Linked DNA regions of Oryctolagus cuniculus. The protein of the gene in region 1 interacts with the protein of each later gene in a biochemical or structural test. Links are inferred from orthologs where the notes say so. Each region holds a gene or a part of one and is shown on either strand. Other genes may lie near its edges. The genes, in order: COL1A1, SPARC and THBS1.

Region 1 (10,476 bases):
CCGGGAGCGGGAGGCAAGGATGGAGCGCGCCGGGCGCCGGCGCGGGAGGAAGTCCCGAGCGCGCCCCGCGGAGGGCTGAGGGGACAGCTGCGATCTAGGCGCGGGGCGAGGGACAAGCACGTCGAAGAAGGGCTGGGGGCTCCGCGCTGGGCACTTGGAGCCCGCGCCGTGGAAGCGGTCAGGAGGGCTGTGGGATGATTCATAAGGAAAGATTGTTTGTCCTCGCTGCAGGCGAGACCGTGTTCCTGGGGCCGCGGGGGAGGGGCCGCAGAGAGGGGGCGGGTCGGTGGCCGGGAAACTTGGGCGCGGACTTGGCAGGCGGGGTCCTGGCGCCCCTCACTGGTCGACGCCGAGCACTGGCGCGCCCCGTGCTGTGCTTCTCCGGCCGAGAGCCGGAGCGCCGAGACCTGGGTTGCTGTCGGGCGAGGACCCCACCTCTGTATCTGGACAGCAAAGCCGTGGATGGGTAGCCCTCGAAAAGAAGGGGCCTGTCCTGGGAAATCGGCCCCGCCCGGTCCCCATTGCTTGGTGTTGCCCGCCACCTGGTGGCCGTCTGGGTAGATGCTAGCGCGGTGGGCGTGGCTAACTAGTTTCATACTGTTTGCGGACTTTTGGGTTACTCGGCAAAGAAGTGATCCAGAGAGGCCCCGGCTGGCTTTAGGGGACTAGGCTAGCCCTGAGAGCTGACTCTTAAGAAGTCCGGGCGCTGACGGTTAGGGCGTATGCTATTTGAGGGACGCGGTTCAAGCCTCTGGGCGGGACCCGTCTCCAATAAGCCCCTCCCCGCTCTCCTAGCCCCTCCCACTCCGCCCCACCTGCCCCGGGAACGGGGGCGTGGTGGGGGCTGGGCCTCCCTCGTCTCCTCCCCACATCCCTTTTGGTCTCCACGTCCCCCCTGGCTGGGCCCCTCCCTTTCTCCGCCTTCCCGCCCCCCACGGCTTTGTGCGTCCCTGGGCTTCCGCGCCAATGGGCTGAGGCTGGGATTGGAAGCATCCCCGGCCCTAAGCTTTGTTTAAATTCCTGAGAACTGGAAAGAGTTACGGCCGCCCTGGCCCGGCGCCCCGGCGCTGTCACCGGCGCTGACGAGGAGCAGACGAGCAGTGAAGGATTTGGGGGAAGGGGGAGGGGGAGGCGGGACGTGGAAAGTGCGAGTGTGCTTCCAAGAGGGAACGGCCGGCCAGCCGAGGGTCTACGGCCGCTGACGCCCCTCCCCGCCCTGCCCCAGTCCCGCCAGTCACATGCGTGCAGAACGGCGTCCGGTACAGTGAAGGCGAAATATGGAAACCGCAGACCTGCCAGATCTGCGTGTGCCACAAGGGCGACGTCTTGTGCGATGACGTGATCTGTGAAGACACCAAGGACTGTCCCGGCGCGAAAGTGCTCCCCGGCGAGTGCTGCCCTGTCTGCCCCGAAGACGCGGGTACGGACGGGGCCCGGGGCTGGGGGCGGGGGCGGGGGCGGGGGCGGGGGCGCCGCAGGCAGAGCCGGCCTCTAACCCGCTCCTCTTCTCCCCTAGGAGCACCCACGGACCAGGAAACCACAGGAGTCGAGGTAAGCCTCTGCCCCCCGACTTTCGCCATCCCGCCCGTGACTCTTTGCTCCGCTCCCTTCTCTAACCTGCACCCGTGTCCCTTCTCCAACTCTATAGGGACCCAAGGGAGACACTGGCCCCCGAGGCCCACGGGTAAGTGCCGTCCTCCCTCGGCGGTGGGGCTGCAGGTGGGCGTGGCTCCCGGCCGTCGCTCACTCTGGCCCCGCCCTCGCCCCTGCAGGGACCCGCAGGCCCCCCTGGCCGCGATGGCATCCCTGGACAGCCCGGACTTCCCGGCCCCCCCGGCCCCCCTGGACCTCCCGGACCCCCCGGCCTCGGAGGAGTAAGTGCAGAATGGAAACACTGCATGTCCCTGTCCCCGCGTTGTTCCGTTGCTTTGGTGACATGACCACATTCTGGAATAGCCCCCAACTTAGAGAAAAGGTGCAAGAAAAGCGCCCAAAGCTTGCATATCCCCCGCACAGTCCCTCCATTTGCTGAACTGAGTCAGGTTTAGCTACCATTCACTTTGTGCTGAGCGGCTGGAGAGTGAGATGCTGATCCCACACTTCAGGTGTGTTTCCTGAGAGAGGAGCATTCCCTTACATGACCAGAGCACAGTGATTGAAACTGGGACATTGAATGCCATCAGCCAACAAACCAGTCCACATCCAACTTGCACCAATGTCCACGTAATGTCCCTTGTAGCTTTGATTTTTCCCTGATGCAGGATCCAATCCCAGGTCAGGAGTTGCCTTTCATTTGCCGTGTTGGTGTGGCGTCCATGAGTGTTCCTGGCCCTTGGGGACACTCAGAGCGTTTGAAGAGTCTGCACTGGTGCAGTCGCGCAGTCCGAGATGTCTGACCAGCTGCGTGTGGGGCAGGAAAGCACGGCTGTCCGTGTGTGCTGCTCTTGGCGATGTTTTCCGCCTCCCGATTTCTCATGCTCTCTCTGTCTCTCTCTCTCGTTTTTTCCAGAACTTTGCTCCCCAGATGTCTTACGGCTATGATGAGAAATCCGCTGGAGTCTCGGTGCCTGGCCCCATGGTGAGCCACCAGGGGGAGCACAGATGACAGAAGAGGAGCAGGCGGGGATCCAGAGGGGCTGGGCGGGTGTTGGCATGCGCCCCCCACTCACACCCCAGGGGGCGGCATAGACCAGCCGTGGGGCCCGGTGGTGCCCGCGGGAGTCAGTGGGAGCCGGCGAGGCTCCGCCCACGCTGCGTTTCCCTGCAGACTCGTGCCATGCCCCCCCTTTCTTTTCCCTCTGCAGGGTCCCTCTGGTCCTCGAGGACTTCCTGGCCCACCTGGCTCACCTGTAAGTATCCAGGAGGGCTTCATATACACCGTGGGCTCTGGGCTTCTGGGAGGAGGACTGGGATGAGGGCCAGGACCGCGCTCAGAGAGCTCTCGCTGAGACAGGGAAGCTAAGCAGTGACCTGCCCTTCTAACCCGCTCCTCTTTCCTTCTCCAGGGTCCCCAAGGTTTCCAAGGCCCCCCTGGCGAGCCTGGCGAGCCTGGAGCTTCTGTAAGCATCCCCGATGTGGATTCCCCGTCCTGTGGGAGGACCCCACGCACGCACTGGGGGTCTCCCTCCCTGCCTCTGAGGATCCTGACTGCCTTTCCTCCTCCCTCCTCTAGGGTCCCATGGGTCCCCGCGGTCCCCCTGGCGCCCCTGGCAAGAACGGAGATGACGTAAGTAGCACCGTGAGGAGGTACCGTCTGGCCCCATGGCCTCCACTGGCTGGGTCCCATAATCTCCACCCCAGAGCCCACACCACCTTTGCAGGTGACACCCAGAGGCAGGAGGGCATGTTCTCCCTGAAGCAAGGGGCTGCCCTTGAGCCCTTAGCGGATGACTTTCCCCACCCCCGGCCCAGGTTAAGCCTCAGGTGCACCTTAACTGCACCTGGTATGTAGATGGTGAGGCTAAAATGCTGGTGACGGACATGAGCAGTAGGTGCTTTGCGGGGTCTCAGATTTTGCACACGAGGCTTCCCTGGCAGATTGAACTTGAGCTCTAGACTCCAAGATAAGGTCTGGACCCATACACCTGACCTTCCTCCCCCTCTTCCCGACCTGAGATGCATGGCCCTGATGGCTTTTCCTCTCCCTCTCAGGGAGAAGCTGGAAAGCCCGGTCGTCCTGGCGAGCGTGGGCCTCCTGGGCCTCAGGTAAGCAGCGGCTGCAGCCACACTGGGTCTGCGTTAGGGAGCTGCATCCACAGTGGTCAGGCCTAACGTCCCTTCCTCCGCCTCCTTTTCTCCTCTCTCCAGGGTGCTCGGGGCTTGCCCGGAACAGCTGGCCTCCCTGGAATGAAAGGACACAGAGTAAGTTTCCTGTGAGGCATCTTCTACGCTCCCTAAGTCCCTTGCATCCATGGATCCAGCGCCTTCCCCAAGGGGTCCTGCTGTGAGACACAGTGGGCATCCAAAAGAGCTCCCCTCCACGAAAATGAAGGCCCAGAAAGGGACTGGCTGAGAACTTGTTCCCACGGGGTCTGGTCCACTGGAGATGGGCAGATGGGTGGGCAGGTTCAGGGTGGTCCCCAACCCCCCCCCCAACATCTGCAGAGTCTCATCTTGTCCCTCCTGCCTACTTTAGGGTTTCAGTGGTTTGGATGGTGCCAAGGGAGATGCTGGCCCTGCTGGTCCCAAGGTAAGGGTCTGTCCGAAGGTCACGGTCCCCCTCCCCTCCACAGCCCCACTGTGAATGAGTTCCTCACTCTGTTCTCTGTTCTGTAGGGTGAGCCTGGTAGCCCTGGTGAAAACGGAGCTCCTGGTCAGATGGTGAGTGAGCCAGCTTCTAAAGGGAAGGGAGCGAGCAGGTGCGGGGGGAGATGGAGGTGTGGGAGTCGGAATGGTGGTTTCCCGTCTCATTTGGTTTCTGTTGACTTGGTTTCCAGGGCCCCCGTGGTCTGCCTGGCGAGAGAGGCCGCCCTGGAGCCCCTGGCCCTGCTGTGAGTACTCCTGACCCCTGGCGGGTTGGGGGTGTCCCTGGGCTCTTGGAAAGACTTCCTCGGGAGCTGCAGGGACTGGTCTTCGCTCAGTGCATGTAACTGGGTCCCCTTCTTCTTGCAGGGTGCTCGTGGAAACGATGGTGCTACTGGTGCTGCCGGCCCCCCTGTGAGTATGGCCCCTTGACCTCAGTGGTGGGCGCAGGGTCACAGGGTCAGCTCTTGGTTGCTCTGAACCCCAGGATGTCCTCCGTCCCAGGGTGTAACTTGCAGCTGCCAGCTTCCTTCCTGCTAACATCTCCCTTTCATTCTCAGGGTCCCACTGGTCCCGCTGGTCCCCCTGGCTTCCCTGGAGCTGTCGGTGCTAAGGTGAGACCTTTGTCCTCCCCAGAGCATGACTGTCACAGGCCAAGGCGTCTCCCTGCTCCCCAAACCAGAGGGCTCCAGAGTGGCAGGAGGCAGAAAGCCATTCTGCAGCACCTTTGTCCCGGGGAGGCCAGCAGGTGCTTCTCTGATCTCAGAGTCCCTGCTCCTCGGCCTCCTGCCCTTGTGCCCGCCTGCCCACAGGTGAGACTGATCCCAGGCTGCCTCCTGACGTGTCTTTTCTTCTGCCCCAGGGTGAAGCTGGTCCCCAAGGAGCCCGAGGCTCTGAAGGTCCCCAGGGTGTGCGTGGTGAGCCCGGCCCCCCTGGCCCTGCTGGTGCTGCTGGCCCTGCTGTGAGTGTCTCCTCCCCAGAGGCCCCTGGGCCACTCCCCAACCTTGTGGATCCTTGTGGGTCCTCACTCTCCTTTCTCTGTGCCACAGGGAAACCCTGGTGCTGATGGACAACCTGGTGCTAAAGGTGCCAATGTGAGTATCCTACTGGGTGCGCCCATTCCCACCTGTCCCAGCCCTCTACTCCTGGGCTCCATGTCTGTTCTGCCTCCCACAGGGCGCTCCTGGTATTGCTGGTGCTCCTGGCTTCCCTGGTGCCCGAGGCCCCTCTGGACCCCAGGGCCCCAGCGGCCCCCCTGGTCCCAAGGGTAACAGTGTAAGTGCCAGCTTCTCACCTGTGCCCACCCCACCCGCGCCCATGCACCGGCTCCAGTGCAGCCCTGTCTGCTGGGTAGATGGTGACAACTGAGCGCCCTCCACCCTCCCCTCATCTCCTTCTCCTCTTCCCTTGCAGGGTGAACCTGGTGCCCCCGGCAACAAAGGAGACACTGGTGCCAAGGGAGAGCCCGTGAGTGCCTGCCTGCCTTGGGTGCTCTGGAGAGGGGCTCAGGGGCTGGCACCAGGGCGTCCCCTCACCAAGGCTGCCCCCTGCCTTCTGCCCACTCCAGGGCCCCACTGGTGTTCAAGGACCCCCTGGCCCTGCTGGCGAGGAAGGAAAGCGAGGAGCCCGAGGTGAACCCGGACCTACTGGCCTGCCCGGACCCCCTGGCGAGCGTGTATGTGCCCCACCCCGTATCGTCCCCAACCCCACCACCGCCTCCTTGCCCACCCCAGTGCCTGTCTGGGTCCGTTAGCTCACGGCCTGCTCTCCCCTCTGCAGGGTGGACCTGGCAGCCGTGGCTTCCCAGGTGCAGATGGCGTGGCTGGCCCCAAGGTAACCTGTGCTCCCTCGCTGGTCACCCCCCACCCCGCCACAGGCACAAGCGCTCCTGCGCGTGAGTGCAGCTGCAGGTGTTGGTGCCTCTTTCCCTTCCACTGGGCCTCACCTCTGCTATGCCTCCCACCCCGAAGCCCACCCAAGCCAGCGCCCACAGCCTTCCTTGTGTAAGGAGGAAGAGGCGCTGGCCATGGTCGCAATGCCCGCACTCAAGCCCCTCGTTTTCCTGTGACTTTTCCCAACCCAGGGTCCCGCTGGTGAACGTGGTGCTCCTGGCCCTGCTGGCCCCAAAGGCTCTCCTGGTGAAGCTGGTCGCCCCGGTGAAGCCGGCCTGCCTGGTGCCAAGGTGGGCCCCCAGCTCTGCCGCCCAACTTGGCCAGGCACCCCCTGGCCTGTTGGGGCATGGGTCTGGGATGAGGCTTTCTGGAGCAGGCCATGGGTCTGCTCCTGGGGCTACCCCCCACCATCCCCTTCTCCCCCTACTCACACTTCTGTTTTTCCCCCACACCCAGGGTCTCACTGGAAGCCCTGGCAGCCCTGGTCCTGATGGCAAAACTGGCCCCCCTGTAAGTATCCCTCCCCGTGAGCCCTCTCCCACCTTCCCGTCTGCCACCCCTGTCCCCATCTGACTTTGTGCCTCCCATCTTCAGGGTCCCGCTGGTCAAGACGGTCGCCCCGGACCCCCAGGCCCCCCTGGTGCCCGTGGTCAGGCTGGTGTGATGGGATTCCCTGGACCCAAAGGTGCCGCTGTGAGTATTGAGTAGGGAGCAACTCGGGGCTTGGGACAAGCACGCCTGGCCGGTGAGAGTCCCAGGCTCTGGCCCAGCCCTGCTGCTGACTTGCTGTGTGGCCTCACACTGCTCACTGCCCCTTCCTGGGCCTTGAGCACCTTATCAGTAAAATAAAGGACTTCCGGCTTCCCAGCCATTGCTCTGTGCCTGGAACTAAGTTTTGTGGGTGCCCCCGGCCCCACTCCCCAAATCTTGGAGGGTTTATTGAGGTTCAAAGAAGGCACCAATGGAGGAGAAACCCTTGGCAGCTGAGGCCACAGTGCGCACGGAGCAGGGGGAAGGGAGGAGGGAGGGTGGAGGGAGCAGGGCTTGCAAGGCCTCTGTGATTGTGGGGAGGGGCTGAGGGCCTCAGGCCTAAACTGCATGTGCACAGCCAACAGCCACCCGACTTTGGAGAAGGAGGTCCCTTTTAGAAACTCCTCCTCAGAGCAAGTAGGAGGCACCTGTGGGGCCTTCCGGTCTCCCTTCAGCCTCCTCAGCCTGCCCGCCCTTTCCTCCCCAGGGAGAGCCCGGCAAAGCTGGAGAGAGAGGCGTTCCTGGACCCCCTGGCGCTGTGGTAAGCAGCCCCTTCCTACCCCGCGCCCCTTCCTCCAGCTGCCCACTGGGCCTGCCACCCTGAGCACTCCCTTCCTGCCTCCCCACAGGGTCCTGCTGGCAAAGACGGAGAAGCTGGAGCTCAGGGACCCCCTGGACCTGCTGTAAGTGGCCCTGCCTGGGAGGCCTGAGGCGGCGCCCCCTGTCCCCTGCCCCGTCCGCCTTTCTGTGACCACAGCTGTCTCTCTGTGACAGGGCCCCGCTGGAGAGAGAGGTGAACAAGGCCCTGCTGGCTCCCCTGGATTCCAGGTGAGGCGGCAGTCAGGGAGCTGGGGGCTGGAGAAGGCGGGGACACCACTTTGTCCTCTCCAGATTCTGAAGCCCCTCCTCTTTCTCCCCCCACTGCTCACTTGCAGGGTCTCCCTGGCCCCGCTGGTCCTCCTGGGGAAGCAGGCAAACCTGGCGAACAGGTAAGAGGGAGCCGTTGGCCGAAAGGGTGTGTGGGCAAGGAAGGGAATGCAGAGGGCCAGGCACCTGCTGCAAGCTATTCAGACACTGTTGGGATGAAGGTTAGACACGGGGAGGGACTTCCTCGGAAAGGGAAACAGGAAGTGTCACGATGTGACCTGGGGTTGCAGAGCTGCCCGTCTGGGTGACTTTGAGGAGCTATAGGACGCTGTGGCTCCCCCTCCCCCTGGCCTGGGGAGGACAGCTCTCAGTGCAGAGTCGGAAGGAGTGGAAGGGCTGCGGGGCTGATTGTGCAAGGGCCAGCCCCAGAAGCAGGGACAAGAATCCATCCTGTGCCTAGGGCTCACTCTTTGGTCTTCCCTCTCCTTCAGGGTGTTCCTGGAGACCTTGGTGCCCCCGGCCCCTCTGGAGCACGAGTAAGTAGACGCTGTGCCCCTGCTCCCAGCCAGATGCCCTGTGGCTGTCTCTGAGCCTGGAGCAGCCGTCACGCCCTGACTTTCCCTTCTAGGGCGAGAGAGGCTTCCCTGGTGAGCGTGGCGTGCAAGGTCCTCCTGGTCCCGCTGGCCCCCGCGGATCCAACGGTGCTCCTGGCAACGATGGTGCTAAGGTGAGGGCAGCCCAGGGAGCAGAGCTCACCCCTCCTGTGGCAGGAGCATGATGGCCAGGGAGATGCTGGGGGAGCAGGTGGGGGGCTCCCAGGCAGCCCGAAGTCAGGGTTGTGAATCTTCCTTCTTCACCCAGGCCCAAGCCTGGGTGATTCCAAGAGGAAGCCCAGGACTGTGAGCCACTTCCGGGACCACCACCTCCACCCTGGCCTCATTGCAGTCTTCTTGGTTGTCACACAGGGTGATGCTGGTGCCCCTGGAGCTCCCGGTAGCCAAGGCGCCCCTGGCCTTCAGGGAATGCCCGGTGAACGTGGTGCAGCTGGTCTTCCAGGCCCCAAGGGTGACAGAGTAAGTACAGGAGCCCCCTCCAGCTCTCTCCCTGCTTTGGATCCTTCAGTGTCTTTCCATGGCTCCCTGGGACACTTCTCTCTTCTCCTTCCTCCTCCCTTCTCTGTCTTCTCCACTGTGGTCCAGGCCCTTCTCTCTAGGAGTTACCATGGTGATGAGAGGTGGAGCCAGCTCCTTGATGGAGCCCTCTATGCAAGACAGAGGCCTCTTAGCCTAGGTGTCAGCCGGCTCTCCGAGCAGGCACCTCTTCACCTGAAAATCCTTGGAACGGGGAAGATGAGACACAAGCAGGACACTTGCCACCCCTGGAAGTCTCAGGTCTCTCTTTGTCTTTAGGGCGATGCTGGTCCCAAAGGTGCTGATGGCTCTCCTGGCAAAGATGGCGTTCGCGGCCTGACTGGCCCCATTGGTCCTCCTGGCCCTGCTGGTGCCCCTGGTGACAAGGTAAGGTGGCTGCCTGCCTACACACAGCTTCTCCAGCGAGCTCTGCATTGGAGACGGGTCTGCCATATTGAGCTGGCGACCCAGGAAGCTGGAGGGACCAGAAGCGGGGGAGGCCGTTCTGGGGTCATCTGTCAGGAGTAAGTCAAGGTGGGCCCCCTGACCCTGAGCCTCTTGTCCTTCCCTCTCAGGGTGAAACTGGTCCCAGCGGCCCTGCTGGTCCCACTGGAGCTCGTGGTGCCCCTGTAAGTACAGAAGGCCTGGCCGATGCCCCCTCTGCTCCCTCCATCCTGCACCTGTTATCGTGGCATCTCTCCAATCTGCCTCTTTCCTTTTAGGGAGACCGTGGTGAGCCTGGTCCCCCCGGCCCTGCTGGCTTCGCCGGCCCCCCTGTGAGTACCAAGAGCCCATTCCTTCACAGTGAGTGACTGGATAAGGACAGGGAGTCGGCCTGAGTCGCGCCAGGCTCCTTGCTGCCTGCAGCTCCTGCTGCTCCCCAGCCCTGCACTCACCACTCTCACTCCTCCCCCAGGGTGCTGATGGCCAACCTGGTGCTAAAGGCGAGCCCGGTGACGCCGGTGCTAAAGGCGATGCTGGTCCCGCTGGCCCTGCTGGTCCCGCCGGTCCTCCCGGTCCCATTGTGAGTATCCCCCTGCCCTGTGTTCAAGATGCTGGTAGGCTTGGGCCCAGGGCCGGCTCAGGTGTGACATCTCTGTGCTCTCCTGCAGGGTAACGTTGGTGCTCCTGGACCCAAAGGTGCTCGTGGCAGTCCTGGTCCCCCTGTAAGTGTGGCCGCCGCTCGGTGGAGCCTCTGCCCCACCAGTGCTGGGAGGTGGGCGGCGGGACCTGGAGAGCTGGCCTCTTCTGACTGCTCCTTCACTCTCTCTGCCAGGGTGCTACTGGTTTCCCTGGTGCTGCTGGCCGAGTCGGCCCCCCTGGCCCCTCCGTAAGTATCTGGGGGTGTCTGCTGTTCTGGGTCAGGGGCAGTGGGTAGGCACAGGCTGTCAGGGGGATAGTGGGCCTGCCTGAGGCCCCAGAAGCCACGGCTGTCTGACAGTCCCTCTTGCCTCCACCCAGGGAAATGCTGGACCCCCCGGCCCTCCTGGTCCCGTTGGCAAAGAGGGCGGCAAAGGCCCCCGTGGTGAGACCGGCCCCGCTGGACGTCCCGGTGAAGTTGGCCCCCCTGGTCCCCCTGGCCCTGCTGGCGAGAA
Region 2 (10,476 bases), on another chromosome or scaffold:
AGTTGCTCAGTCCTTGCCCTGAGAGGAACCTGCCCTCAGACAATCATCTAACTCCATAAATGGGAACTCCAGGAGGCTCTAAAAGGAGAAGAGCTTTACTCAAGGCCACACAACATGGGGTCGGCAGAGCCTGCGCCGGTTCCAGTACAGAGCGCTCTCTGGGACAGGAGTCTGGAAGGGCCCAGGAGCACTCACATTTGCAAGGCCCAATGTAGTCCAGGTGGAGTTTGTGGCCCTTCTTGGTGCCCTCCAGGGTGCACTTTGTGGCAAAGAAGTGGCAGGAGGAGTCGAAGGTCTTGTTGTCATTGCTGCAAACCTGTTGGCAAAGCACAGAGCATCCCCTCCTCATTCCCGAAGCCCGTGGCTGGCTTCCCTGTCCTCGCCCATTTCAGTGTCGGGGACACAAGGGACCAAGAAAGCAGTGTGATTAGCCCAAAGTCACACAGTGAATCAGTGGCGTTGCAACAGGGACCCATTTGGGGGGCTCCCAGGTGTATGTCCAGACCATGCTGAGACTCACGGACGGTCTCCAACAGAGGCACAACTGAGACAGGGCTGAGATATGGGAACCTAGAAGATACTGGAAGGATGAGTGAAAGATGGGGGCCAGGAAAAGACAAGTGTGTGCAAAGAGGAGCAAACAGAGCAGGCTGGGGACTGCTGTCCCTGGAGAGTCTGCTCACAAGGTTGGCCCTTGGCTGGCAGACAGCTGGTTACTTGCACTGTTGGAAAGCGTTCCCCGCCTGACAGGGAGGCTCACTGTGCCCAGACAGCTTGTACGCTGTGGTTTCAATTGGACATCCGCTTTCTTCCCAGGAGTCTGGAATCTTGGTACATGATAAGCACAGGGTGCCTGTGGGACAGACTCCCACTAAACTGCAGGAGCTGTCTCTGATGGGCTTCCCAGGGCAGCAGCATCACTCACATGTGGCTGCCTTTCTGTAGGTAGGGTAAGAATGTGCTCTAAGGGACCCCTCACGGAGGCGCCCGAGCTTTCTCCCTGTGACCTCGCTTCCTATCCTTAATCTGTCACTGTAGCAGGACCGTGGCTGTGAAGTCTTCTGACTCCTCCTGGTACACCTCTGAGCGTGCGAGTAGCCAGACAGAGATGCTGAGGGCTCAGTGGGGGCGGTGGCAGTGAGAGCTGTGTCGGAGGGGAGCCTTAGTGAACATCCTGCATGTAGGCTCTTAGTGTTGTCACATGTCACTGCAGAGGGGCACCTGCTGGGCCTTGGAGACCAATGCGAGGTGTGATAGGGGAGGAGAGATGAGAGGGAGAGATAAAGTATGCTGTCGTAGGGAGAGACAAAGATGGAGAAGCCAGCTAGGGTGTTATGCAAATAGCGCTGGTACCAGATTTACTGCTGTGAGCTACACTGTGGCTGGCAAGAGTGGGTGGTCAAAATCCAGGTGCCAGGAGGGAGTGGAGGATGGATGAATGGGTCCTATTGGAGATAAAATGGATGGACTTGAGAGATTTTTAAACAGCAGCACTTACTGGGTACTTTATATGGAGCAGGCAGTATCTGGCAGATCGCCGTAGGAGCCCTAGTAGTTAACAACTATTTTCATCCCCTCTTTAAACAGGAGAAAACTAAGATCCAAAAAGGTTTAGTAACTGAGCTAAGATCTCACAGCTAACAAGGGATGAGACGAGGTTTGGAGCCAACCTTTGGTCTGACCCACATTTTGGACCCTATGCCTGGTGTAGCTGCACCCAAGTAGAGAGGTTCCCTGTCTCAGTCCTTGTTGGTTGATGGTTTCTGGTCTGAGATTGTGGAGTCTGGCACAGAGATTGCAACCAGATGGTGCCAAGGAAATTCCTGCTGGTTCTTGGCGAGATCCAGTGCCAGGCAGGGCCGTCTCTGACCCTCTCCCCTGCCCAGCTGTGACCAGACCGAATGAGGGGACTTGGGGACTGGCAGCTGCCCGGGTGGACCACCACATCACGGGTTTGTGGGGAGACACTCTGCATTCTGAGCTTACCTTCTCAAACTCGCCCACGGGGGCAGGGCAGCTGGTGGGGTCCTGGCACACGCACATGGGGGTGTTGTTCTCATCCAGCTCACACACCTTGCCGTGTTTGCAGTGGTGGTTCTGGCAGGGGTCTGGCAGGGTGCGAGGGCACAGGATTAGCCGCACGTGGGGCTTGCGTGTTCACCCCAAGCACATCCCAACCGTGCTCTGAGCACATGAAGCTTGGCTGTGGCCCCTGATCCGGGCTTTGGGTGGTCCCGAGTCTGCCCTGCTCTTCCCTGGGCCTAGCACTCGCCATTTAGGGGAGCAGCTGATCCTCTCTGGGAACTGAGTTTCCATCTGAGGTCAAGTCAGGCACCTCTGTGGAGCTGGCGGCTCAGTCTGGGACGCAGAACACCTGGCACCGTGTGACTCCCCGAGGGCTGACGCTGCCACTGTGCTCCCAGCTCAGCTGAACAACCATAGGGAGCCATTTCTGGACTCTAGAATGGGCCTTCTGGGAAGCCTTGGAAAGTTGTCAAGGAGCCAGGAAGCTGTGAGGCCCAACCAGACAGCCTTAAGGGGCCGTAAAGGAAGAGGGAGCAGAGCATGGAGGCGCACACAGACAATGGAGCCCAGCTGTATCTGGTAAACACCGGATGGGGTGGGCGTGGAGGGAAGGAACATGACTCAGCAGACACCCCTCTGCTCCAACTAAAACGCAGTGCCCAGCTGGGTGCAGGCGCCCGCTCATCACCGCCTCGGGATGCGCCTTTCCCCCATCATGCTCACCTCTGGGCATTTTAATCCCCCCGGAGGGGGTGCCTGCTCTGCCCAGCACCAGGCCAGGACCTCTCTGCTTTGTCTTGTCTTGCTGCTGACAGCCCTCGGCAAGACTCTACTCCCCCAGGAAGGGGAGGAAGCTGTAGCTCCGAGGAGCAAGGCAAGCTATCACGGAGAAGCCTAGCTTCGAGCTTCCCAGGCCCACGCCTGGGTGGGAATGCCCCAGAACGGGTGCTGGCGCCTGCCTCTGCCTCTGGCACCAGCTCCCCGGGGAGCAGGCCGTGGGCTCTGCCACTCTTCACTTCCTTGAGGAATAAGCTGTGCGTGAAATGTCCTGATCTCTACCCTCAGACCTGCTGTTTCACAGGGCCTGTGCTGAGAGAGAGGTCGGGGCATCCCGTGCGCAGGAGTGACCAGTGACCTCGGCGGGAAGGTGGACTCCCACTTTGCAATCCGGGCAGAGAGCTGTGAGGGAAGGAGGCCACTTCCAGGAGGGGACCTTCCCTTCCTGCCACTCAGCACGGATGGCCTGGCTACAAATACATGGGCCCCAGCCTCCAGGGCACTGAGTGCCACAGTGGATCCCCAGCCTTTAAATCAAAGCCATTCTCCTCCACAACACACTGGGAACCCCACCCCTCCCTCACTTCCTTGGGCAGGAGCCTCCCAGGGGCTCAGGCCCAGCCCCAGGCAGCCACGCCACAGGAAAAGGACCTACTTTCGGCCACTACTTCCTCTTCGGTTTCCTCAACTTCTTCAAATTCTCCTACCTCCACCTGCACGGGGTTGGCTCCCACAGGTACCTGGGAAGGAGGGAAAAGAATGAATCAAACACTGCCCCACCACAGGCCTGGGAGAAGGAGGTGGAGACCAGAGGGGCACTTGCCTGAACTTCGGGGGTGGTGAAGACCAGCTGGAAAGGTGGGCTGGGCCCAGGGCACAGGGAGCACCCACACCAGGGGTTTAGTCTCATAATGATTATTTGTCAGTGTATTGATACATTCCTAATTAGCCATATCACATGTTTTATAGCGCCCTGGGAGTCCACTGAGTGCCCCAGGGGACACCACGGCTGGATGTCAGAGCACGAAGGGAAGGTAGAAGGTGCAGCCTCCACCCATGGCAGCTGCACCTGAGCAGCTCCCCCTTCATCTGCTTTCCACGTGGGGGACCGTGGGCTCCACGGACGGTCTGGGCCGAGTTCAGGAGTGTGTCTGGATTTGGGGAGTACTCAGCGATCGCTCCTGTGCTGTGTGTGAGCACAGGACGGGAACAGATGCCCCATGGCGGCATGCAGAACCTGCGGTCCCCAGCAGCGCTTCCGAGGGAGCAGATGTGGGCAGACGTACCTCAGCCACCTCGGCCACCTCAGCCACGGTCTCCTCTACCACCTCTGTCTCATCAGGCAGGGCTTCCTGCTGCTGCGAGCAAGAGAAAGTGGGGTTCAGAGGGGTCAGGGCCAAGGCCGGGAACACAGCTGGGGGTGCTCGGAGAGCAGCTCACTGGAGATACCCAAGGCTGTGCCTCAGCAAATGCCTTGGCATGGGGGACGGGGCAAAGGAGAAGTCACGGCAAGTGGGAGCAGCGTGCCCGTTATGTACTTTTCATCCAAGGTGTCTAAGAATTAGCCAGGAAAAGCGCTTCTGATGCTCCGAGTTCCTCTAAGGCAGGAAACACACTGATCCAGACCAGCTCCCCCATTTTACAGATGGGGACCCCGACACCAGAGGGGTCACACACCGTGATGCCCTTACGTTCCCCACCATGTGATCTTACTGTTGGGCAATTCCTTCTTGGATTTCAACTTACAGGAGGAAGGCGGGAGACAACATCTAACGCTGAGGTCCCTGGCTGGCTGGAGCTGCTGCTAAGATGAATGCCTACCTTTGCCAAAACCTACCAATCAGGATCGCCAGTGCCTCCTGCCCTCCCACCTCTGCGGAAGAGAGTCCTGGGTTGACAGACACTGCTCTGTTTGCCTGCCCCCCATTTCTTCCTCCTGCTCTTGACTGAGCTCTGGATAACCTGGACTTCTGCAAAGGACTATGTCAGTCAATGAATGCCCCACCCTCCCCAGGCCAAGAAGCAGGCGGATGACCCAAGTTCAACCAAAATGGCTCTTGCTGACTTTTTAAATTCTCCTTGGCACATTCTGTCAAGATGTGAAAGCTGCCGGAACTGAGGCTTTCCGTTGGCAATGTCTCGGAGACTGTCCGTTGGCTCTGCCACCCAGAGCCGGGGCTGCCCTTTCCAACCCTCCCCAAGCCCTCTGAGCTGTAATCCACCCTGTATCTCTCCCCACACCACCACTCCAGGGAGCATCCTCCCAGCCAGCATCCTTCTTGCCCTCATGGAATTCTGCCTCTGACAATGAGGTCACTTCCTTCAAAAGCCACCCTGGTCCATTTCTAGGAAGCTGCCACTGCTGAGTTCATCTTCACCTACCAGGAGCTCTCTCTTCCCTGGAATCTCCACTTACTGCACTTCATCTCAGTTCTTCTCCTGAACTTGTTGGCTTAAGAAAAATTCTTTTTAAAAAATAAGAACTAATTTGGGGTGGAGAAGTCCTACCCCATCTGAGCACCTGAGGCTGGGGGTAGGAGGTACAACTGAGAAGATCCAGTGCTTCGGTACTTACAGGGGCTGCTAAGGCCCTCCCAGCCAGGCAAACGAGAAAGAAGATCCAGGCCTTCATGGTGCTGGGAACCTGCGGGAGGGAGAGAGAGAGAGAGAGGTCAGCGGGCGGGAGGTTTCCTGACGGCGTTCCCGCTGCACTCCTGTGATCTGCGAGATCCTTTCCGGTGGCATCTGTTACATGGTGGAAAAGACACGGGAGGCAGTTGGTTCCCTTGAACTCCTGTGATCCAGAAAGCCTGAGTTGGGTGCTGAGCAGTCTCCTGACATCTCTCTAACACATCTCTCGCTTTTTTAACAAAGAGAAAGCAGGCCTCTGGCTCAGCGCCTCTGACAGGAAACCGTATCCTGCCAGAATGCAAGGAAGTTGTTTAGTTTCCTCTCTGTTTATTTTTATAGCTTCCTTCTACTTATGACAAAGGTCCAGAGTTTTCCATTTATTGTTATGCTATAAGATCCCCTTTCTCAATGTATTTATTTACATTTTATAGAAGTTAATTAATAATCTGGACTAATTTGTCAAGTTTAGGCCACACCAAACTAGATCATCTTCAAGGGCCCTCGAATGCCTGGTGTTCGAAGATTGTTTTTCCCCCTACACTTCAAGCTCTTCTTCCTCCTCCCTACCCCTTCTGCAATGGGAGAAGCTAATAGGCAGCAACCTCCTGCCAGTGTGACACAACGAGATCCACCTCCTGAAACAAACAGCAGTAGTCTTGCAGTGTGGCCTGTGCACACCTGAGGATGGTCACGTTTTTCTCCAGCAGGGACAACACTTTTCTGGACCCTCTAGGGAAACTGCCCAGATGCTTCCTTCATTATGCTGCAGAAGGGGTGTGTCAGCTGAGGTCTAGAGAACTCCTCTGCCTTGGCCACATGAAAACCTTGTTTCCTGCATGTTGGGCTGTATTCTCTAGACTCTCATGATTATAAGGGGTCTTGGAGCAGACTCTTCTCTGATGCCAAGCCTAAGAGAGAATCTGTGGTGGAGACATTTTCCTTCTTGCACTAACTAAATGGCCTTCCACGTCCAAATGGCTTTAGACAGTTCCTCCCTTATATCCTGTTCCAAATATGCCTCCCTTATACCTGTCCCAGCCAGTCCCATCGCCTCTTCTGTAGTCACACAGAATAAACCTACTCCCTCTGCCTCTTGAGTTGTCCCAAAACTCTCATATCAGGCTCATCATCCCTAGTTGTTCCCAAGATTTCTCAGCTGACCAAGCATGGTGGTGGAAGGTACCCCAGGAAAAAACACTCATGTTCGAATCCAGTGCCAGGGCTTGTTCTACCTCAGTACTGTCTTGCTGTATAAGTCCTTCATCCTGTTGGGAATCTGACTGCCCATCCATCAACCGAGAAAGTTAGACTAGGTAAACTGCGACCTTAAAAATACTCTGGAAATGTCACAGGCACATGCTGGCCTTGGCATTTCACAGTTCCTTGGGTGCTGCCCATCTTCACTTGGGTTATAATATTTAGAGACACAAAATCTTACCCCTCATTTCATGAAGTCTGCATGAAACAAAACTAACAGGAATTTAAAGGAATTGACCTTGGGGTTTGGCACTGCTTCATGATAACCCCAACTCCCAGAGGAGTCCAGTATTCCCTTTCCAGGCAGTTTCTGGAATATTCCTCCCCTACACACAGTTGCTCACTTGTTCCCCCAGACATAAGTGGAAAAAAAATCTTCTTCCTTGCTTCCCCTTTTGGAAGACACAAGTAAAACAGCTCCTGCATGTGGCTTTGGACGAATGCAACAGGAGGGAAAACATCAACAAAGGCCTTGTCTGAGACTAAAGTTGAAAGGTCGAAGTGAGAGTGGCAGCTAGAACAGAGTCACCCCATCTGGGCAGTAATGCCAGCGAGGCCACGTCCTTGGGGGAGAGCCCGGCTAGGAGTGGAGATGTGAAAAGCTTCACAGTTAGACAGCCAAGAGGATTGACAGTTCCTGAGCCCACGTCCCTCACCTGAGCAGACTCCCATTCCCGCCATGACCAGGGAAGGGTTTTGCTGCTTGAGTCTTCCATCTGGCCTGCCTCGCCGTCTTCCTGCTGCACACCCACCCTGTCTGCCATCCCATCCCTGGCTCCAAGTCTGGTATTGCTTCATGGTTTCCAAAGCATTCTCTCATGCACACTGACCCTCTAGAGCTTTCTGACCACACTGGGATGTAGGCAGACAGGCGTGGAAGGGTCCGAGTCCCGCTTCCCTGAGGAGGAGCATTCAGGTCCACCCCAAATGGACAAGCCTCCCTTCTCAAGGACTTGGGGTGAGCCTAACAGGGACGGAGCTCAGACACTGGGGTGTGGTGGGAGAGAAACGCAGAGAGGAAGACCATTAAAAACAGAACACAAGTCCTTGGCCGAGAGTGGTTTTCCAAATTTGGGCAATGTTACATAACAGAACCCTTTCCTCCAGACGAGGGGATGCAGGGAAAGGAAGCAGCTGGGCTAATCTGGATGCACAGCCATCCTCCCTGAGTAACCCATGAGGAACCTCTCCGCGGTTCTCTAAAACACCCCTGACCAAAGAGGCCGGTGTCCATTGTGCAAAGCTTGCACGGTGCGACCACCACTGCAGAGGGCCAGAACAGGGAGGTGCAGCATTCAGACGCAGTAGCTGTGATCCTCCGGAACCAGACGTGCACCAGCGCCTGGATCGAAGTGGCCAGCACTGAATGAGAACCCCCTCCTTTGCAACTTTCTATGACAATGCATATGGTTCCCCTTCCCAGAGTGTGTTCATAGTCAAGCGTCCCATCAGAGCTTCCAGGCATGTCTCTCCACCTAAGAGCGCAGATGAGAAAACTGAGACTTAGACGGAGGTAGGATCTGCCCACAGCTAATAGCCCCAGGGCACAAGTGGCAGGACCGGGGTGAGGCCCCATGGGGCTCCCTCCACCACTGGCAAGTTCTCTATGTCAGCACATGCTATTTTACTATTTCGCTTGGCAGCCACTCCCTCCCGAGGTGGTCACCTGAGTGCAGCCCAGTTGGGCTGTGAACTGCCCAAGGTGTTGGAAGGAAAACTGCTCTGGGCCATGGGAGGAAGAGGAGGTGTATTTCCCTTGGCGGGGTGGCCACCAAACACAGACACCCCTCACCCTTACCCCCACCTCACCACTGCCGCCTCCTGTTCCGTACTTTGAGTCCTTTCCTTTTGCCTTTATTTGCTCTGGAGATGGCTGAAAACCCGTCCCTGGCTGCCAGCAGGACCCGAAGCTGAGGTCACTTCTCTTTCTTTGGAAAGACTGTGGGGATGGAAAAGTACAGCCAGCCCCCAGTTCATCTCCCACAGAACATACAGGGCCGCCTTCGGGCTCGCCCTGGACACTGAAAGCCACCGAATGTCAGAACTGGGGGAAATCTCAGAATTCTATAATTTCAGATTGTGGTTCTTGGAATCACTGATGCTTAGAATGTGAAACACAGAATCTGAGCTGGAATCACTGGCCCTGATGGGAATGAAAGAGTTTACGGAGCAATACAACTCAATAGAACTTTCTGAGCTCATAAAAATACTCTATATCTGCATTGTCTAATATGGCCACTGCTGTCCAGATGTGGTTATGAACACTTGGAGTGTTGCCAATGCAAATGAAGGACTGAATTTTAAGTTGTGGTTCAACTTAATGAATTTAAGTGTTAAATAAATAGCTACATGTGATTAGTGGCTTCCATAGTTCTCAGAGTGTCATAAGCTTTTGCAGAGGTTTGCAGGAAAAAGATAAGCTCATGGGCTCTGGAGCCAGCTTGTATAGGTTCAAATGCCACCTCTACCACTTACCAATTGTGGGACCTTCAGAAACCAACTTTACCTCTCTGGGCCTCAACTGTCTCCTCCTCTGTAAAATGGGAGGAATAGCACACCTACCTTGCAAGGTGATCTATACAAGACAATACAGATAAAAAGGTAACCAATGTTTGGGAGAACTTCTTCAAATCCAGGGGTCCTGGACTCTCCATCCCCCTCAAGAATCCAGGGCAAGAACCCCGGCTCTTTGTCTGTAGGCCTAGGGAGGAAGGAGTGTTGGAGGGGAACAAAGGAGATATTGCTCCTGTTGGTTTAAGAGACGCCAGCACAGCCTCCAGAGGACATGGTGACAAAGGCCAGGCCCCAGGCCAGCCTCTTAGCTGGGCTGCTGACGCAAGCCAAGCAGCTCATTCCCACCATTTGGCTTGGAAACAAGGGTTCCAAAAACACATGTTGGTGGTAAACAAGCCCAAAGAGAGGGAAACAAGTCCGAGGCTAATAAAGGAAGCTGTGAGCCAGGCCCTCCGGGGAGCCGGGCCCCAGGAGGAGGGAGAATGGACTCCAGAGAGGTGGGGGCCAAGCCAGGCCAGTTCTGCTGCTCCAACCTGGGGAGGTCTCTGCTCTCCAGACCTGACCTACGCAGCCCGTCTGTACAAGAGGAGGTTGTTTGAGATGAGTACAGCCCAAAATTATGTAAGCCAGAGAATCCTTTCTTCCAGAAAATTCTTCTCCAGAGGTCCAAAAGTCAAATAGCTGAAACCTTCTAGCATTTGCTGAAACATGTGAAAAGGTTATTGTCCTTTAATCAATAGGCAAGAAGTAAAAAAGCTAAAGCAGGCAATAGGGAGTGGAGTTGGGGGCTGAGGGCTCACACACTCTGATGCCCCCCTGGGACACCTGGGTGCATCTCTAGGTTCTTCCAGGAACACAGATTGAACCTCTTGGCCAAGGTGCTCCCTACGCCCCCTTTCGGCTCTGACGCTTTCAGTCACCTCTGCCGACTGGAGCAGCACCCGTCCCAACTTAGCCTTTGACTTCCTGATCCTGCTTCTAAAGTTCTTGCTGGAAGGGAAGAGGCCAAGGAAAATGTTTAGGGTGTCATGGGTGCTAAACCCTGGGAATGGAGAGTTTCTGGGGCAGCTCAGAGGTGGCTCTGGGGTTCGCAGCTGGAATCAGCCGGACTGAGTCCATCATCACGTCTAAGATGCCACGTTTCACTGTGGCTAACGGAGGCTTGGGTGCGGCCTCACGTTTCCTCCTTGGCTCCCTCTAGAGGGACCGCTGCTGAATCATAGGTGACCACAAATGGAGGGGATGAGAAATAGCATCAAAGTATCCAGGCTG
Region 3 (10,476 bases), on another chromosome or scaffold:
AAACCAGTCCCGCGGTGTCTCCAGCGAATGTGAGGCCCAGGAGGGCTGCGGGGCTCTGGCCCCCTACTAGCCCCCAGTCTTCGCTGTCTCTGACCCTGTGCTCTTGCGCTTCTTGCTGCAGGCTCCCTGCTGGGCACAGACAGCTCCACCATGGGGCTGGCCTGGGGACTCAGTGTCCTGTTCCTGCTGCAGGTGTGTGGCAGCAACCACATTCCAGGTGAGTCTGTGCGACACCTCAGGGCAGGTGGAAGGAGAAGGCACTGGCTCTCCCTCCCAGCCGTCTCTCCCCTGAGCCCCAGCTGAGTATCAAGATGCAGCCTTGCTCTGATCGCGGTGTCCAGTCAGCTCTTTCAGTGGCTGCCCGTGCCTGTGGGCCGGCTGCCAGGGCTCAGCTCCCTCCCCCAGCCCCAGCCCCAGCCCCAGCCCCAGCCCCAGCCCCAGCCCCAGCCCCAGCCCCAGCCCTAGCCTAGAAAACTCACTGTTGTCCTTTCCTGTCCGGCAGAATCTGGGGGAGACAACAGCGTGTTTGACATCTTTGAACTCACCGGGGCTGCCCGCAAGGGCTCTGGGCGCCGGCTCGTGAAGGGTCCTGACCCTTCCAGCCCTGCTTACCGCATCGAAGATGCCAACCTGATCCCCCCGGTGCCTGACGACAAGTTCCAGGACCTAGTGGATGCTGTGCGCGCAGAGAAAGGTTTCCTCTTCCTGGCCTCCCTGAGGCAGATGAAGAAGACCCGGGGCACGCTGCTGGCTTTGGAGCGGAAAGACCACTCTGGCCAGGTCTTCAGCGTGGTCTCCAACGGCAAGGCGGGCACCCTGGACCTGAGCCTGACCGTGCAGGGGAAGCAGCATGTGGTGTCGGTGGAGGAAGCTCTGCTGGCGACCGGCCACTGGAAGAGCATCACCCTGTTTGTGCAGGAAGACAGGGCCCAGCTGTACATCGACTGCGAGAAGATGGAGAATGCTGAGCTGGACGTCCCCATCCAGAGCATCTTCACCAGGGACCTGGCCAACGTGGCCAGGCTCCGCATCGCCAAGGGAGGCGTTAATGACAACTTCCAGGTGAGGCCGCTTCTCTGCGCCCTGGTCCTGGGGCCGTCTGCTAGCCTGCTGACCTGTCGGGAGACCAAAGCCGCAGTTCCCATTCTAGAAGCATCACCTTCCCCGGAGGGCTGCTGTACCCCACTCCCAGAGTCCCCAGTTCAGTGCACTGGAATGGGTCTGAGAAGTTGCATTTCTAACAAGTGCCAGATAATGCTGAGGCTGAGATGGTAGTCGAGGAGCCACGGGTCAAAAACTCCCCAGGGAAGCCCATGATTTTGCTGTGACAGCCTGTTCAAGCCACAGGCACTCCTTAGGCTCTCAAGAAGACTAACCTCGAATGTGTCCCACCACTTTTAATACTGCTTCACGAGGGGCTTGCACGGCAGAATCAATAATCGCTTTGCTCTTGGATTCTTTGTAGGGGTTTGAGCCGGTCTCAGTCGAGAGGTTAAAATTGTGGTTATTTGCTGCTGCAGCTTCTTCCTGGCCTTAGCCCCTATGTTTGTGACTCTGGCTTTGAACTCCCACATTTAACTCTTTGACACTGGATAGTGTCATTGTATCCTCCAGGCTTTGTATCAGATTCCATTTCCTGTGTACCCAAGTAGGCAGATAACTGAATTCCTTGTCAAATACTGAAGACTTGGCAGGAGGCACAATTAAGATTTTGAAGTTGTTTGGCAATTTATGTTGGTGTGTTATTTTGATAGAGTGATCTTAAAACAGGACCCTTTGAAGCTTTGTGAATGATCTGTTGTGTGCTTCTCTTAGCACAGCCTTCCCATAGAGCCCCGGTCTCCACACTGTATATGTAATGTGTGTCTTCTGCCCACAGGGGGCACTGCAGAATGTGCGGTTTGTCTTTGGAACCACACCAGAAGACATCCTCAGGAACAAAGGCTGCTCCAGTGGTGAGTACCCCTCTCTCTTTAAGGCATATGGGGGAAATCAGGGCAGGTGGGAGTGGGAATCCCACCAAAAACAAACAGAAATTTAAGCATAGGTGATTGTGCATGAATTCTCCCCAGAGAACCCAGTTAAGAGGTGAAGTGACCTCAGTGGGCATTTGCACACACATGCATGTCCTCCACCTGTCTCCCTCCCTCCACATGAAATAAATGGCATTTACAACCAAGAACTGGGAGGGCTGGCTGGTAAGATCATCCATTTGAAGCTATCTTATTGCCTTGTTCATTTTGTGTGTTCGCTTCCCAGCATCCACCAATGTCCTTCTCACCCTTGACAACAATGTGGTGAACGGGTCCAGCCCTGCCATCCGCACTAACTACATTGGCCACAAGACAAAGGACCTGCAGGCCATCTGTGGCATCTCCTGTGATGAGCTGTCCAACATATTCCTGGAACTCAGGGGCCTGCGCACCATCGTGACCACGCTGCAGGACAGCATTCGCAAAGTGGTCAGTGGCCTGTAGCCTCCCCACCCACCCCTCAGCCTGTTCACACGAGCCCTGGAGGCCTTAGCACAGAGGACGCCTAGCGATGGAACATAAACCTAGACACTAACGATCTGTCTCCTCCTTTCAGACTGAAGAGAACAAAGAGCTGGCCAATGAGCTGAGGAAGCCTCCCCTCTGCTATCACAATGGGGTCCAGTACAGGAATAACGAGGAATGGACCGTGGACAGCTGCACTGAGTGTCGCTGTCAGGTGAGGGCTCTTCACACACTAACATAAACCAAGGCTCGCCACCACGTGTTTGAAGCTGCAGTCCCTGGGCAAATACTCAGACGACCACATAATTCTTTTCATGTTCCCAAACCAGGTACCAAATTCTCATTTAGACTCGCAGAAGGTTTGTCCAAGTCCTAATTATACCCCAGGCTAAGTATTTCAGGGAAAAAAAAAATCTGCTGAGACATCTGAATCATTTACCTGCTTCAGTTCAAAGGCTAAGTGTTGAATGTCGGGTGATTAAAGCCTGGTTGGGACGTTCCTTCTTCGTCCCCTCCCCCCGACTGGTATTCAGCTGTGGCACAGAGGTTCTTTCACCACAGTACCGGTTGTTGCTGGAGTCACTTAGCCCCATATTGTTAGGATGCCCCTGTATTCTTAGCTCGGATTGCATTGCCTGCTACCCCCACACCACTGGCAGAGGAGCAAGGAGGTTTTCCTGGCTCATGGAGCAAAGTCAGGCTTTAATACAAATCACAGATGACTGAATTTGGAAGCCAACTTCATTACATTTCCATTCTCTTCCAATACGATAAATCCAGATTTATAAATGCAAAAAAAAAAAAAACGGGGGAGAGATGTGCTTATAGGTCTTTTTTTTCCCCCTACAAAAAAGCAAACTTAACCATTTCAAAGTTCTGGCTGAGTTTTGTCAGCTCAGTTTCAAACACGAGTTTGAGAACGATATTTATTGGTTCTGCTTATAGAAGTTCTTCATGCTGTAACTTCTACCTTTGAGTAGCAGTTAAAAAGGGCTCTCCAAGGAATTAAATGACAAATAACTAGCACTGCAACTGTCTCCCTGAGAGTCGGGACCTCTGCTACACAGATCTTCTATCAAAACCATTCCACGAGAGCATTTACAGCCATGACCACGTTCTGGCTTATCATGGAAATGTGACACTGCGTGAACTTGGGTTTGCAACATGCGAGGTAATCCATTTCTCTGTCACTCTGTTGCTTTGTAGAACTCAGTCACCATCTGCAAAAAGGTGTCCTGCCCCATTATGCCCTGCTCCAATGCCACAGTTCCTGATGGAGAATGCTGCCCGCGGTGTTGGCGTAAGTTCCCCAAATGGCATAAGCCCTCTTTAGCCAGCGACTAGGTCAGTCGTAATACATCCTGGACAGCAGAGCACAACATTGGACCTCACCCTCATCGCCCTCATATGTGTTTATTCTGTTTCTTGCTGCAGCAGCTGGTTAACTGATAGCTTATCTGCTGTGCGGCACCAAAATCTTCATTTATGACTAAATATTATCACCCATCTGGATTATAGTATAGGCAGTAAGAATCTCGGAATGGCTGTTGGCTCTGATTTTATGCTTTGAGGAAAGGAGATGAATATGCCACCTCCATAGCCCTAAGTTGGCTGTTTTTAGCATTTTTTCTTAGAGGAGGTACAGAGTTAAGAAAAATCTGCTTACCAAAGAAATCAATAGGCTTATGGTATGAGTGTTAGACTGAATTGAGCCTGAAAATTCTCGTTGACAGAGGAGAACTAAGAGAATAGTGTCAGTTTGAGTGCTAAGGCCCTGTGTTGTTCCAGGCCCCCTCTCCTTGGTTTTTGGTTGCCAGTATACATTAACTGCTTTCCTTAGACAGTGTTTAGGTACAGATCATAGACATGAGTCATCACAACTACGATAAGAAAGCAGGAAAGTAGTATTTGCCCTTCATACACACACCCACACACATACACACACCCCTGTACACACTGGCCATGGCTTGGACTAATCAGTATTGGCACTGGACTGACCACTTGTATATCAGTTTCTGGTCAACATTCACTTGAAGGGTGTTTTTCAAGGGAACAAAGCTGCTGGAGGCTAGCAGAGTTCTGAACTTGAATCGGAGGTTGCTAGGAAAATTTCCAACTGATGGCAAAAGAAAACAAGCTCTCTGTCGTGTCTGATACAGCTAGATGTGATTGTAGTCATGGTGCTCAGGCAGATGGTAAACAAACACATTCTCCTTTCATGCAAATATGTGCAGAAAATACCCCCAGATGCTGGGATGAGAGGAACACCAAACTGACTAACCTCATGACCGAGTTGGAGCCAGAGCTGACAGCAGCTAAGCCGCCTTCAGGCTCATCTGTCAAGCACATGGTCCACAGCTTCCCTGACAATCAGAAACAGCTAAAGCTCCACATGCCTAAAACTCGAGCATTCTTGGAAGCCTAAGCCTGGAAATGCCTGTCCACATATCTTAAGTCAGCAATAGGAAATTCATTTGAAATGAGAAAGGAGAAAGGAGGAAGCAATGAATAGGCAAGCAGAGGCTGGGAGAAGGCTCAGCTGTACAGACCCAGGCAACACATCCTGTCACCCCCAGTGCTATACACACAGCCACCTGGGGTAACCAAAACTTTGTAACCTTTGATACTAAGTTCTGCAGATCTCATCTACAGCATGTAATAATATTGTATTATGTACTTGACATTTGCCAAGAGACTAGATCTGAAATCATTACCAAGAGAAAAAGGAAAAGAAAGAAGGTAACTTTATGGAGTCATAGATAAGTTTATTAACTACTAGCTTGACAGTGATATTCAAAAGGCAGATGCAGACCACAGCACCAGTTGTACACCTTAACTTTATATGATTGTTGTCCGTTATACCTCAGTAGACCTTGAAGAGAAATGTATTGCTTTTTACTCTCTAGCAAGTGAAGGGCTGTGAGCAGAGCCATCTAAAGAATAGCTTGCCTTCATCACTATGTACTGAACGGCCTGTTCTCCCTGCAGCCAGTGACTCAGCAGATGATGGCTGGTCTCCGTGGTCTGAGTGGACCTCTTGCTCTGTGACATGTGGCAATGGAATTCAGCAGCGTGGCCGCTCCTGTGACAGCCTCAACAACCGATGCGAGGGCTCCTCGGTCCAGACGCGGACCTGCCACATCCAGGAATGTGACAAGAGATGTAAGCATCTTGACCTCTTAGAGATACAGAGAACTGACCTGTCCTTATTGTCACCACTCACAGCAGCTCTGCAGCAGGTTCTAGAATCTCTGACCCCGAATCCCTTCTCCCACATACTGTGCACCTTTGAGCACAACTTGCCCTCTCTGTGACTTTCCTTATCTGGAACTTGGGGACAGTAAGTTCTTGATAAGGTTATTTTGAGCTTTTTATTTAGATGACACCTATAAAGCACTCAACATGGAACTTTGTTCATGGTTAACACCTGGTAAATACTGCATTATTAATAACAACCCATAAAGACAGCTAAAATATTACATGTACTTCTGACATTCCATGCTGGCGTTAGGACACATGGCCAAGAGCCAATTTCTGCTACACATGGTGCAGTTGCCATTGGAAATATTTCTGTATGATCCCGAGACAGACCTCTATTTGGCTACCAAACCAATACCATCAGTGACCATCCGCTTTGTACTTCAGTTAAACAGGACGGCGGCTGGAGCCACTGGTCCCCGTGGTCATCCTGTTCTGTGACATGTGGAGATGGTGTGATCACAAGGATCCGGCTCTGCAACTCTCCCAGCCCCCAGATGAATGGGAAACCATGTGAAGGCGAAGCTCGGGAGACCAAGGCCTGCAAGAAAGATGCCTGCCCCAGTAAGTGTGAGCTCAGCCGCAGGGCAGTGTGGGCGGCAGCTCTGCCCAGCTGGTTGCCTGGCATCTGCAGCCTCCAGTTCAGTGGGTCATGGAGAGGGAAGGTTACTTACTAGATAAACAAACAGAAGAAAAGACCTGCAGTGCTCAGCAGCTTCTTTTAATGAAAAGCAGAGAGGAGACTATTTCAAACTAGCCCTCCTCCCAGATAATCTCTCCCATGTCAGGGAAGCAGCGATTTCTTGAATAAGCTTAGGAGAGTCTCGTATGACGGTGACAGATTTGAACAGCGACCTTAATTTTTACATGGAACTCATTTTCTTACAGTCAATGGCGGCTGGGGTCCTTGGTCTCCATGGGACATCTGTTCTGTCACCTGTGGAGGAGGGGTGCAGAAACGAAGCCGGCTCTGCAACAACCCCGTGCCCCAGTTTGGAGGCAAGGACTGCGTTGGTGATGTGACAGAAAACCAGATCTGCAACAAGCAGGACTGTCCAATCGGTGAGCCATGCAGCCCAGCGCAAAGATCCCCCTAGGAGCTTCCTGCTTTACTGAACGCCACAGCCCGCATTTATGACCCTTTTAGCTACAGACACCCTACAGTATCTTAACACTGGGTGCCTTTTGAAGTGCCCAGCATGGCAGGAACAGCAGCCCAGACCAACCATTAACCTGTCTCTCTCATCTCGTCTCAGATGGATGTCTGTCCAATCCCTGCTTTGCCGGTGTCAAGTGTACTAGCTACCCTGACGGCAGCTGGAAATGCGGTGCTTGTCCCCCTGGGTATAGTGGCAATGGCATCCAGTGCAAAGATGTCGATGAGGTGAGGAACTGATGGCTCTGAGTTAGGAGACCCAGGACAGCAGTGAACCTGTCCTAGCCGTGTCCTTATGGTTGCATTTTCTAAACATTAAGCAAACTTTCATCTACTCCACAGTGCAAAGAAGTGCCTGACGCCTGCTTCAACCACAACGGGGAGCACAGGTGTAAGAACACAGACCCTGGCTACAACTGCCTGCCCTGCCCTCCACGCTACACTGGCACGCAGCCTTTCGGAAGGGGTGTTGAACATGCCATGGCCCACAAACAGGTACAGTTGGCTAGGCTGGTACTCCAGAGTAGAGAAGAGCTGTCCTTGACTGAAACAACTAGGAGAGGGAGGACTGTCATTTTATACCCTGCACTAAGAGAGAGGAGAGGAAGAAATGTACAGTCTAGTTTCAGAAGCATGACTAGAAAACCTATAGTAACTCCTGCAGGGGAAAAGTAGTCACATTTTAAAATGCTGCTCTGGAATAAGTTGTAAGTAAATGAACCTGTAAATGCCAAAGTGCTAAGCAATTTCAAGAAACATAAATGTACAGCAAAGCTTGTTTGTAGCCTGGTCGTCCTTGCGGGCAGAATGGGGAATTAATCCACACTCCTCCAGTTGCAGCCTCTGACAGGGAGCCAACCAGGATCTTGATGTTACTTGTTTCTGTGTTGTCTGGGAACTTTGGAAGGCTCTGTGTTAACATCAGGATGGTATATCCTCAGGTGTGCAAACCACGCAACCCCTGCACAGATGGGACACATGACTGCAACAAGAATGCCAAGTGTAACTACCTGGGCCACTACAGTGACCCCATGTACCGGTGTGAGTGCAAGCCTGGCTATGCTGGCAATGGCATCATCTGTGGGGAGGACACAGACCTCGATGGCTGGCCTAATGAGAACCTGGTGTGTGTGGCCAACGCAACTTACCACTGCAAAAAGGTACAGCCATCTTCCTACGTGTGCCTATCACCTGTAGCAGCAGAGTATGCCAGGGACTTTTAAATGCTAACAACTCAAAAACGAAACTGAAAGATGAAATTTTCCAAAGGAAGAGGACAGTAATCCACAAATGTTGAGTCCTTTGGTGCCAAGAACACAAACAGGGCAGGCTGTGTTGGCATGTTGTGGTGCATGATGATTCTTTGGTCCAAAAGAAGGCTCACTCCCCTACCAAGTTCCATGAGATCATGCCTTGTGTTCACAGCATGTGTAAAGCCTAGAGCATGTATACGCATTCTGTATGTGCAACCCCCAAGAAGGCATCTGGTTGCCGTCACAGAACAGCAGTCCGTTCTTTTTTGGTTCAGAATGTCCCAGTGCTCCGTCCCACCCCATGCATGATCCATGAGCTGAGCAGAGAAACTACAATCTACAGCTGTAATGTGCATCTTCTCTTTCCTAGGATAACTGCCCCAACCTCCCCAACTCGGGGCAGGAAGACTATGACAAGGATGGAATCGGAGATGCCTGTGATGATGACGATGACAATGACAAAATCCCAGATGATAGGGTAAAAACAAAATATGTGCCATCCCGTTGCTTCTCTTCAACTTTGCAACAATGTGAAATATTTCAGGATTCAAGGAACTTATGGAATTATAGGAAGAATTATGCCAAGTTGATACATAGGATAATTAGAAATTATTTATTGTAGTTTAGTAGCTTGAGGAGACATAAATGTTGCCAGGAGAATTTTTAAAGGAGGGTTTTGTTATCCATCACAAAATTTTCCCCCCTTTGAGAGAAATTAGAATGAGTCACCAGTGACCCTTTGATCCCCAGATTTAACAGTCATGTCTCAGTTACAGTCAAGTTCACTTTGGGCATCTGGAGACCTGAGATAATGAGATGACATGTTACCTCTTAATTGATTTGTAGCCAATAGAAACCATTTTCCATTCATTATGTCCTGGCTTTTAACTTGTATGGTGATCGTTTTACACGGAGTACTCAATACATCCACCAAGTAGAAAATAATCACTGCAAATTTTTTTGCAGTTCTCTGCATACTGTGCATGTGGTCTGAACCCTGAGCTGGTTCCACAGCAGCGTGCTAAAGTGCTCCCTTTCTTCTTTCTGTAGGACAACTGTCCGTTCCATTACAACCCAGCCCAGTATGACTATGACCGAGATGATGTGGGTGACCGCTGTGACAACTGCCCCTACAACCACAATCCAGACCAGGCAGACACAGACAACAACGGGGAAGGAGATGCCTGTGCTGCAGACATTGATGGGGATGGTAAGGCACTGCCTAGCCTAGCAGACCCCTGGGCAGTGGGAAGCACCCACAGATTTCAGCTCACTTCTCCCTAGGCCTGGCCAGTATGATGTGGTATGGCTGAAACAACCAAGGCTGGAGATACCAGCTCTGATTTGTCCCCTGTTCCTTGCAGGTATACTCAATGAACGAGACAACTGCCAGTATGTCTACAATGTGGACCAGAGGGACACTGACATGGATGGGGTTGGAGATCAGTGTGACAACTGCCCCCTGGAACACAATCCCGATCAGGTAGGTGGATTCCTATTAGAGTCTTTCAGTCAGGTCTGCAAACTTCACTAGCTAGGTCTTCACAAAGTGAGTTTAATGGAGTCTAAAAACTTTCATCATGGTGTCCTCAAAGCCAGCTGCACCAAGTTCATGTACACAGTTTGTCTGATGTGACCATCTTACAGAGTCTCATGTATCTTTAATGTACAGATCTTCTCCGACTTCTCAGACAGTCCACTTGATTTGCTGTGACCTACCATTGTTGAGATAAGTTAGCTAAAACAGAGATCTGAGACTGATAATTCTATCATACTACTAATCATGTCTGAGACTAAGAGTGTTTTAAGTATATTCTTCACATACGTTTTATAATTTCACCTTGAAGAAAACAACCCATAACCATGTCCATGGCTAACTATATAATCTGGCTGTGAGAAAGTCGTCAGACTAGAAGAGGTTCCAAAACCTGGGAAACCCCATTTCTTTGTTATTCTTCCACAGCATCTGGTATTACCAGATTATACCCAGAGAATATATAGTTTTAAAAAAACTCAAATATCCCTTCTGAGATTTTCATGTAAAACCAAGGATCAAGGGGAAAAAAAAAACTTTCAAAATGTAATCACTAACATTGCTTTCTGGAAAAGTATTTCTATAACACCCCACTGGCCAGATGAGACATGGGGGATTTTCCCTGTTGTGGGGGCATTGATGTTCTCGTTGTCACTGCTGATTGATACGGTGGCTTACTCTCCATGTATGTCTCTTTCTCAGCTGGACTCTGACTCGGATCGCATTGGAGACACCTGTGACAACAATCAGGATATTGATGAAGATGGCCACCAGAAC

The links.
Region 2: the proteins of COL1A1 (region 1) and SPARC form a complex in vitro, tested with the Homo sapiens proteins (2 studies listed by BioGRID). The link is inferred for Oryctolagus cuniculus from reciprocal best matches to the Homo sapiens genes COL1A1 and SPARC.
Region 3: the proteins of COL1A1 (region 1) and THBS1 form a complex in vitro, tested with the Homo sapiens proteins (2 studies listed by BioGRID). The link is inferred for Oryctolagus cuniculus from reciprocal best matches to the Homo sapiens genes COL1A1 and THBS1.

What each region holds. Positions count from the first base shown.
Region 1 is NC_091448.1:26,151,291-26,161,766, reverse strand, and holds part of COL1A1 (collagen alpha-1(I) chain), read left to right. Parts: intron 1-1,225; coding exon 1,226-1,420; intron 1,421-1,516; coding exon 1,517-1,551; intron 1,552-1,648; coding exon 1,649-1,684; intron 1,685-1,772; coding exon 1,773-1,874; intron 1,875-2,509; coding exon 2,510-2,578; intron 2,579-2,804; coding exon 2,805-2,849; intron 2,850-3,005; coding exon 3,006-3,059; intron 3,060-3,172; coding exon 3,173-3,226; intron 3,227-3,651; coding exon 3,652-3,705; intron 3,706-3,807; coding exon 3,808-3,861; intron 3,862-4,135; coding exon 4,136-4,189; intron 4,190-4,275; coding exon 4,276-4,320; intron 4,321-4,436; coding exon 4,437-4,490; intron 4,491-4,611; coding exon 4,612-4,656; intron 4,657-4,802; coding exon 4,803-4,856; intron 4,857-5,104; coding exon 5,105-5,203; intron 5,204-5,291; coding exon 5,292-5,336; intron 5,337-5,418; coding exon 5,419-5,517; intron 5,518-5,655; coding exon 5,656-5,709; intron 5,710-5,809; coding exon 5,810-5,917; and 36 more. UniProt on the Homo sapiens protein: Type I collagen is a member of group I collagen (fibrillar forming collagen).
Region 2 is NC_091437.1:38,655,340-38,665,815, forward strand, and holds part of SPARC (SPARC), read right to left. Parts: intron 5,447-10,476; coding exon 5,378-5,446; intron 4,161-5,377; coding exon 4,089-4,160; intron 3,543-4,088; coding exon 3,458-3,542; intron 2,109-3,457; coding exon 1,987-2,108; intron 317-1,986; coding exon 196-316; intron 1-195.
Region 3 is NC_091443.1:62,646,674-62,657,149, forward strand, and holds part of THBS1 (thrombospondin-1), read left to right. Parts: intron 1-121; 5' UTR 122-150; coding exon 151-217; intron 218-502; coding exon 503-1,062; intron 1,063-1,879; coding exon 1,880-1,955; intron 1,956-2,259; coding exon 2,260-2,462; intron 2,463-2,589; coding exon 2,590-2,712; intron 2,713-3,704; coding exon 3,705-3,798; intron 3,799-5,486; coding exon 5,487-5,660; intron 5,661-6,143; coding exon 6,144-6,320; intron 6,321-6,644; coding exon 6,645-6,818; intron 6,819-7,012; coding exon 7,013-7,140; intron 7,141-7,254; coding exon 7,255-7,407; intron 7,408-7,853; coding exon 7,854-8,072; intron 8,073-8,535; coding exon 8,536-8,643; intron 8,644-9,215; coding exon 9,216-9,375; intron 9,376-9,529; coding exon 9,530-9,648; intron 9,649-10,401; coding exon 10,402-10,476. UniProt on the Homo sapiens protein: Adhesive glycoprotein that mediates cell-to-cell and cell-to-matrix interactions.